2 linked regions of the Nothobranchius furzeri genome follow. The protein of the gene in region 2 purifies or fractionates together with the protein of the main gene of each other region. This does not show direct contact. Links are inferred from orthologs where the notes say so. Each region holds a gene or a part of one and is shown on either strand. Other genes may lie near its edges.

What was found.
Region 1: the proteins of kinesin-like protein KIF24 (region 2) and cep97 purify together in Homo sapiens (co-immunoprecipitation; 4 studies listed by BioGRID and IntAct, with this or other methods). This does not show direct contact. The link is inferred for Nothobranchius furzeri from reciprocal best matches to the Homo sapiens genes KIF24 and CEP97.

Annotation. Positions count from the first base shown.
Region 1 is NC_091754.1:25,616,821-25,621,202, forward strand, and holds the start of cep97 (centrosomal protein of 97 kDa), read left to right. Parts: upstream 1-1,569; 5' UTR 1,570-1,778; coding exon 1,779-1,863; intron 1,864-1,965; coding exon of another isoform or gene 1,966-2,102; intron 2,103-2,448; exon of another isoform or gene 2,449-2,631; intron 2,632-2,804; coding exon of another isoform or gene 2,805-2,915; intron 2,916-3,384; coding exon of another isoform or gene 3,385-3,460; intron 3,461-3,587; coding exon of another isoform or gene 3,588-3,793; exon of another isoform or gene 3,794-4,123; coding exon of another isoform or gene 4,124-4,160; intron 4,161-4,382. Other genes in the region: rpl24 (large ribosomal subunit protein eL24), read right to left, coding at 1,966-2,102, 2,805-2,915, 3,385-3,460, 3,588-3,793. UniProt on the Homo sapiens protein: Acts as a key negative regulator of ciliogenesis in collaboration with CCP110 by capping the mother centriole thereby preventing cilia formation. Required for recruitment of CCP110 to the centrosome.
Region 2 is NC_091757.1:46,820,258-46,824,651, reverse strand, and holds the start of kinesin-like protein KIF24, read right to left. Parts: upstream 2,877-4,394; 5' UTR 2,642-2,876; intron 2,287-2,641; exon of another isoform or gene 2,147-2,286; intron 2,059-2,146; 5' UTR 2,037-2,058; coding exon of another isoform or gene 2,012-2,036; coding exon 1,953-2,011; intron 1,870-1,952; coding exon 1,087-1,869; intron 962-1,086; coding exon 796-961; intron 701-795; coding exon 603-700; intron 521-602; coding exon 302-520; intron 189-301; coding exon 101-188; intron 1-100. Other genes in the region: Rieske domain-containing protein, read left to right, coding at 4,380-4,394. UniProt on the Homo sapiens protein: Microtubule-dependent motor protein that acts as a negative regulator of ciliogenesis by mediating recruitment of CCP110 to mother centriole in cycling cells, leading to restrict nucleation of cilia at centrioles.

The sequences.
Region 1 (4,382 bases), on a different chromosome or scaffold from region 2:
GTGATTCAAGTTCTTGTGTGAGCCTTGAGCGCAGCTTTGTTTTATTTATACTCATTACAGAGAAAACTTGCTCACAATGATAAGTTTATTTTCACTCTACATTGTAAAGTATGAAAATAAAGTTAACACAACCATTTTGTGGGCCGGATTTAACCCGCTTGCGGGCCGGATCCGGCCCGCGGGCCGCATGTTTGACGCCCCTGATATATATGATAAAACACTTGCAATTATAATGGCGCAGAAGTTCAGTGTAACTGTTGTATAACAAATGTAGCATGGACAGCCATGCCAATGCTTTCTCATGGAAAGCAAAGGACCTGGTAGCATTCCTATTGAAATAACTCCACCGACTGAGCCAATCAGTGCTGAGCAGCGTACGTCACGCACACTCAGTTTCTCATAAAACAAAGATGGCTTCTGAAACGGAGTTTGCTTTGGCTTTGTTCGAAATGACTTGGACATGTCTTTAAAACCTCAACATGAAGTGCTAAAAAGCCTTTGTTTAAAAAAAAAGATGTTTGCACTGTCACTAGATGCCATCTTTGCCTACAGGTAATAAATTACAATCGTCACTCGCTTTTTTTTTGGTGATTGGTTATTTTTGAGCTGGCGAGTCCCACCCCTCATGGTGCTGTCTGCCTCCGAGTATCCCGACTCGTCCTCTGTAGAACAGACAAGAGGACGAGTCTGGCACACCAGGCTAAAACAGACGCACACATTCATCAACCTTTCTAACTTGCTGAATGTTAACTCATTTACTGCCATTGACTTAAGTCGTCATTTGCATGTTTTTACTGTGTGGGCATTGGAACGAGCCCCCGCACCATGAGAACAAACAGCTCTAAAGCCGATCTTCGCATACGTCACATGATCAGGAAGCAGAAAATCCATGTATTAGATCATTTGGGGCCGCTACTGTAAAAAAAAAGTGAGGCGCGAACCGGAAAAGCGGAGGCTACATTATTAATAACATGGCTGTACAACCCACCCTTTAAAGTCATCCTATGTAGCACTTTAAATTTAAAATTCAAACACAAGCTGAAACTACTAAAAAGTATCCATAAACACAGTTTGCTTCGGTCATTATTTAAATGATCCAGCAAAAACATGTTATAGAAAATTGTCTCTTCCTTTACCTGCTCCGAATGAGAAGCTGTAGCTAAAGTAATGTAATGGCATCACTGTTCTGATAGTCAGAACTGCTTCCCTTTGAGTTGCTATCAGATAAGAATAAAGTGAGAGCATGTTTAGGACTGAAAACATTGAGGTCAAACTGAGGTTCAGTGAGAAAAAGCTCCAACATTTCATTCACCTCAGTAAAGTCAAATTTGATGGTTTTACTGAGAAAATAGGAGCAAAGCTAAAGACACAACATTATGTCAGATTTGACCATTTCTGTCTGCACTAGTTGGGAACAGTCTAGTCTGCATGATTAGTTGGAACAAAATGTGTGAATGGGGTAAAAATAAGAAATGTGAGTGCAAAAAAGACCCGACCTAAAGTCAGCAGCAGTCAAACATGTTTAAATTTATAAATTTGTTGCATTAAATTGTTAAACTCATCTGCAAATATGTGTTAACAGCTAATGTTTAAGAAATGATGGGATGTGGGGAAATGGCTTCAAATTATTTTATAAATAGTAGGAATGTCAAAACAATGATAGTCCAAATTTCAAACGTTAACCCTTCCATGGCTTAACCCAACCCTAATTTTTCTTTTTAATCTTAGCAAACAGCAGCAGTGTTTTTAATGTTTACTTCCTTCTACTATTACTGTAGATGCAGCTTGGCAGTTTGATGGATTCAGTCGGAAGTTGGTTTGAGAAACTGTACTCGGTGATCCCTCACAGCCTCATCAATACCAGTTAAGTGTGTGATCCCAGTCTTTAATCACACTTGTTGAAACCAGTCTGGTCATGTGTACTCCGGGTCGGTTCCAAGCTTTAGTTATAATTTGTCCACTGACCTGATGGCCTGCTCCCTCTGGGCCTTGCGGACCTCGGGTTTCTGGTTCCTCTTGGCCATGATCTCAGCCAGGGAGGCCCCAGTGATGGCCCTCGTGAATTTTACTGCACGGCGGGTACGCTTCTTTGTCACCTCTTCCTGTTGACACAAATGACATTTACTTGTACCATGCTGAATGTGACATTTTAATGTGCTTTGCATGTCAACAACACACAACTCTAAAATCAGTAAAACTGGTACCACTAACACAAAATAAACGAGTTAATGAAACACTTAACTATTTTATTTCTAGGACAAGAACACTTTAAAGGACAAAGACTTAAAGTTTGAAATGAACATTGAGCATGCTACAAACCCTTACTTGGGTTAATTAAAACAGCAAAAATGCAAAACTGACTGCACCGCTTCAAGGAATTTCATATTTTAATTGTGAAAACTGTCCATCTTGCAATACACCTGAAATAATACAAATGGGTGAAAAATATTATGTTGGAGAGTTTGGAGGCTGGCCAATGCAGAGATGCCAAAAGAAAGACAGTCAAAGGCCAGTACTATGATCCCCAGTTGTTCTATGGCTGCAGGTGTGGTGTGAGCACTGCTGTTAAACTGCAAAACACAGTTCAGCAACAACACATAACATGGACCATCACCATGCACATCGTTCACTCGCAGCCAAATATGCTTGATCAACTTAATGCATGAATAATGGTGTGAATAGAAGAAAATTTACAATGAATGTTATCAATTCAAAACCGCAACATTCAAAAGGACCTTCCTAAGAAAACATAAATAAATCAGAAGTGCCTCGTCCTTGAAGACTAGTAAAAAGCTGCCACTTACAGACTGGCCCTTCTTGTGCTTGCGTCTGTACAGCACAGTCCAGTTAATCTGTCTGGGGTTCCTCTTAGACAGGAAGGCAGACTCGCACTTGGCGTTCAAAAACTGGAAGACCTGCCAAAAACATTTAAATATATTTGATTATACAGAACGTCTTACATTCAACACATATTACATTACTAAAACGATCAGGTTAAAAATACTTCCAGGGCTAGATCAGATGGTAAATGTTGCTGTACTGACAAGCGATATGGTCCATTAAAATGTAAGTCATACATCATTAAATCGTACAACTTACTTCTAATGCAACATACATTACAAAAATAGATAGCATTTACACTTGGTAACATTTTGTGGCTGTACATTTAGAAACATTACATTTGATCATGGAAATTCGTATGAGTCGCTTAATGATGACGTTGGTTGCTAACGTTAACTGTAGCATGTAAAAAGGCTTTCAGAAGATACAACAGAAACGGAGCAATAACATTTCCGATACGATGAACTTCATTTAGAGAAAATGTTAATATCTATTACAGACCGGCTAAGTACAGAACCGGTGTGGGACACAAGATGAAGTTACCTTTCCGTCTATCCTGGCATATCGGCGGCCATGGCCGGGGTATATTTTATACCCACTGAAACTGCACAACTCAACCCTGAAAATGACAAATATAATACATCACAAAAGGGAAAACAAAAACAATACATTTTTATATGGCTAACGCATTAATCGTTTTTATTTAAATGTTGAGATGGCTTTAGATTTTTATTCGGTACACTTACTTCATGATGGCTACGAGACGGCTCACAACCGGAAAGAGAGATGACGGAGGCGGAAACAGAATTAGAGTACTTTCAAAGTACACTTTTAATATCGTTTTAGGCACTTTTCTTCTTTCTTTTGGATAAATACTAACAAAAATCTCAAACCAATAAAATAATAATATGACTACAATAAGTTCATACAATATTTCTCTCTTGCCAAACATGCGCAGCAACAAAACGTAAAGAAAAAAACAAATGTATGATGCAAATAAAAAAGATTATAGTTTTACACTGAATCCTATATATTTAATTTGACGTTTTTATCCAGTCTTTTTTTTTAATTATGGTTTTTCACTACAACTTGGCTGTCGGGACGTCGGCGCGCTTTTGGAAAACTGTAGTCTTTTTAAGACGAAAGTCGATGCAATATACCAATGAAAGTGAATAAGTGAACTGCATTTCCCACAATGCCTTTCGCACAGCATCTGACAACCTAACGACGCTTCTTGCTCTCCCCTTGCTAGCTAACGCTTGCCGTTGTTTGGGGCAACAAGATGGGTGTATCAGATTTACAGAGTGATATAGTTGATGGTAGGTGGTGTAAATTTTGTTTTGTTTTTACAGAAAAAGTAACATTTCCGTGTTTTTTCTGGACATTGGAGTGATGGCTGCATCAGATGACTACCGCTAGCCCGTTAGCATGATTATGAGCAGATCAAAACATCCTGTGTCATTTCTGTCGTCTTACAATGCGCGCAGTTTTGTGTTAAACACATCAAAGCAAAGATTCTTACACTGACCCATCATTTTGCT
Region 2 (4,394 bases):
TAGAATTTAATTTCTCAGTTCTATAAAGATCTGTATTTTAGACTCCGAATCTGCATTGGATCGTAAATGTAAACAGTCATATCTGTTTAAAGGAGCGAACCTTAAGCACCGAGCTGACCGAATCCACTCTGACATTACGCAGCCCTGAAATGTGAACCACTTTCTGTCCATCTTCTCTCGCAAACAACCTTCAGAGGCAAGAAAGGAGGAAAATATTCAAGAGGATCACATCAGTTACAATTTTAAAAGATAAAGTTGGAAAGCTTGATCTTGCTAAGCACACCCTAACCAGACAACAGACCTTTTCCTGCTGTCCAACAGGTCGTACAACTGACCGCAGTAGATCTCAAAGAAACTAGCATAAACCAGTAAGGATGAGTGCGTGTGTGTGGTGGACAGGTGAGCAAAAATGTCCCGAACTGCCAGAACATACAACCCAGGTTCCCCAGGAGATGATCCCAGCATGGTGTGAGTCTTCCCTGCACCTGTTTGTCCATATGCAAAGCAGGTGGCTTTCCCTCTGTGGATTCACGCAAAATAAACTTTAAAAGGACTGAAAAACAAAGTCATAACATGAGATAAAAGGTGCTGTGCAACCCTACCCGTTAAGCATGTGCTGCACCAGAGGAAAGGCTGTCGTTTGATACACCTCTTCATTAGAGCTCCCTTCCCCAAAAACCTGGTCAAAGTAAAACTTGTGCTGCAAAAACAAAGAAGCAGGAGAAGATGCGGAATAGGAAATAAAAAATAAATCATAGAATTCCAGGATTGTTAGATAGGTGGTTGTTTTCTTACCTGTAGTATGTACTCAGAGAGATCCACAGCTTCTTTGCTTTCACGGACAATAACGCAGTCTTCACCTGGAGTCGTCGTGACAACATCGACCTGTCCTCTTCTGCACTCTGCACGTGTCAAAGGTCTTTTCCTAACACACACTCTAATCCGCTGTCCCCCCACATACCTGACACACACACCAAACCGCAGTAAAGAATTACAATCATCAAATCAAAATGACATTACTATCGTCAGATAAAGTATTACAGATTGTTATTAAACATAGTTACATTTTACTAGCTGTGGACTCACTTGTTTTTTGGAACCAGTGGAGAACTCAGTGGGAGTCCGTAGTTGTAGCCAGCTGTTCCTTTTGCTTCAAAAACAGGTATGGGCTTAGTCGTGTCTGGAGAGACATTTTCCTTCCTGGAGGTTCCTTCTCTGAGTTTTTGTCCAAAAGGTTTGCTATCAGTATCAGTTGCACAATTGGGATTTGGTTTGTGGGATATTTTACTAATTGATAGAAAATTGTCATCAGAATTGACCGAAGAAAATCCTCTTCTGTTTTCTTCATGGTGGGAATCACATGAGCAGCTAACTGTGCCCCTCCTATTGTTTTTGCTCTTTGGGGGGCCGTATGGGGCTGCATTTCTGATGGGAAGCTCAAGTTGCATGGCTGTGGCTGATCCTTTTACCTGGACAGGCTCAACAAACCTATTATGGCTTGCAGAAACATGAACAGAATGAGGAAATTCAAGATTGAAATCAAGCTGCCTGCAAACACACTGGGGTCCAGCATACCTGGATGCATTAGATGTATTTATTGTAGCTCCGTATTTGTCAGGATCCTTGCTCACATTTTCACCAAAACTGATTCTTCCACCCACTGCAACACAGTCTCCATCACCTCCAATGTTATCATTACAAATCATAATATCATCATTCACTAGACTATTTAAGTCAAGAGTTTTGACCATTTGGACCAGATGGAAAAGTCGTGTTCTGTCCTCCATTGAGGTGATTCCCAGGAGGGGGTAATCCTCCATCCTCAGAGCTGAAAGGTGGACTGCGCGGCAAACACCAGCCAAGGTGAACCTAAGAGACAAACAACAGGAGGCCAGGTTTATATCTGGAAAACACAAGGGAAGTGTGGCCTTGGGTGGCACATATCTGCTTACCGGGCATAATGATGCTGCATCCCTGCAGCTCTCAGGAGCTCGTATAGACAAACCGTCATTTCCTGACCTTCCTTTTCTCTCCATTTACTCCTTCCCTGCACCACCTCTGAGACAGACAATGTATTCATCCATAGATCAGAAAGAGCAAAAGCATAAAGATTATCAATCTACAGAAATAAAATGACTCCTCTTACACAGAATACATCTCAAAAAGGCCTCACACTGCAACCTGCTCCAACAACAACTCAGGACAGTGTCCTGTAGGGTGATTTGTCAGAGAATTGTAACCAATGGTTGCTCACTGGGTCATTACTACAACCTCGCTCTGTTGATGGTAGGCAAAGCATGGGATGCTGAAATCTGACACTAGCAGGATAGAGCCGCAAAGTGCAGTTGACACAGGATTCTTCACTGCAGCAACTTTGATAAATATAGCAAACATTGGCTAGCAACAGTCTAATTCTACTGTAGATTGGCCAGCAGCTGTAACTGTCCTGCCATGTGATAAGAGTGGGACAGCTGAGACACAGACCAGTACATGCAGACACATTTGTGCATTTATCTCTGTGGGCATTATGCAACTCTCACCTTTGCAAACTTAAATGGATCTATATTTATAGTTGCAGAAAATTAAATACCACCATTAAAATAATAAAGTTTTCAAAAAAGTAACAATTAAAAATACTTACTTACTTTGGGCTTTTTATCTTTCAGCAGCCAAAGATATCGGACAGTAGCACGTTTAACCGAAATAACATTAATTATTTAAGCTGCCAGCCTGGATGGTATTTCCGTACTCAGAATTAGTCTCCATAACAACACAAACAGCTGACTGGTCCTTTTTTCTGTCAGCTCAAAAAAAAATTAATAAAAAAAAGTTTATCACACGTAAATAAAGAATTTCAGTGGGACAACCGGTCGAAATAACGAGCAGTTCAGCTATTACACACAGAGATAATCCGTATAAGGCTTATGCCCACCAGCAACCCATAAGAAGCCTATCGGTTTAAAGGGACAGACAGATATATACATATTTTTTTGCTTCATTGGAAGATTTCACATTTAATATATTCGTTTTTCTTTTTGTAACAAAATCAATTTCACATTTTTAAAAACATGTAAATATAAAAAAACGTGAATGTAAATTTTCTACAATAAATCCAAATAAATTATGTTGTTGCACTGCTCATATCAAAGCTTCACCTAAACGTTACAGCAATCTGACTGCGTTTTCGTGTTTAATTACATGGCTGGTTTCTAATTCATATTCAACTCTGTGGAAACAGAAACAACTTCCGCTTCGTGTTTCAGCGAGGACTAAATTTGATGTAACACACTATTATTCTTCTTCGTGGGTATCCAGTAGCGTAGCTGTTATTTTTTATTTACGTCTACAGGGTTTCCTGAAATTTGAAAGTGATGTTTATGTTTCGTCATTTGAAATTTGTCCAAGTTATTTAGCAAGTCTGCTTGATAAAGATAAAACACCAGCGGAGTTTAGTGTCTGATAAGCCGGACGTTACCCAGAAGTCCTGCTGCCACATAGGGGCAAGTAAAAGGTAGATTTATAATATATAAATATATATAAAGTTAATATTTGTTGTTTATTTTTGTGTTTTCAAGCTCTTGTACACGTTTTATCGAGGAAATCTGACAAACTACATGACATGACATAAAATCTAAATATGTCAGTTTAGTTATTAGTTAAAAACAGCTTAACTTGTTAGATTTCACTCACTGTAGAAATAACCTACGATACAATTAGTTCATAATCTTGCAATGATGTCCAGTGTGTCTTAACTTTTTTAAGAAGCAGAATAAATTCAACAATAACCTGAAACTGAGACTAGAAAGCCTCAATGAAACTGATGTTTTAAAAAAAATTCATATTAGTTGAGTTCACTAATTTTCCAAGCATTTGTCACAATCTTTCCACTGATTTTCCATTTCAGACTGATTTGTCACATTTTATTTTACCTTTAGAAGAAGAAAAAACGATCCTTTATATAGCACTTCTCAAGATAAAAATCACTAGGTGCTTCACAAGAATATAAAATGAAAAATAAAATATATAAATATGTAAAACAAGGAAAAGAAAAAAATTGATTACAAATGTAAGAAAAAGAGAAAATGAAAATGAATATGAAAGGTAATCAGTGGATCTCAGGAAGGCAGAATTGGTAGAAAGCTGAATGAGGAGAAGGTACTGAGGAAGAAACAGCAGAAGGTCATATGGCAACCTTCTAATTTAACAAAATACTTCTTTTAAACTTTGTTTAAGTTAAATTTTTTCTTGATGTTTTTTTATTTAGGATTTTAAAAAAGCCAAGGATCTTGCAGACAAGGAGCAGGAGTGGAAAAACACCTTACAAAGGAATGAATATTTCAGTTATTCCCTTCTAAAACTACATTTAATAAGTGTTCGACATGTTATCAGAAGAG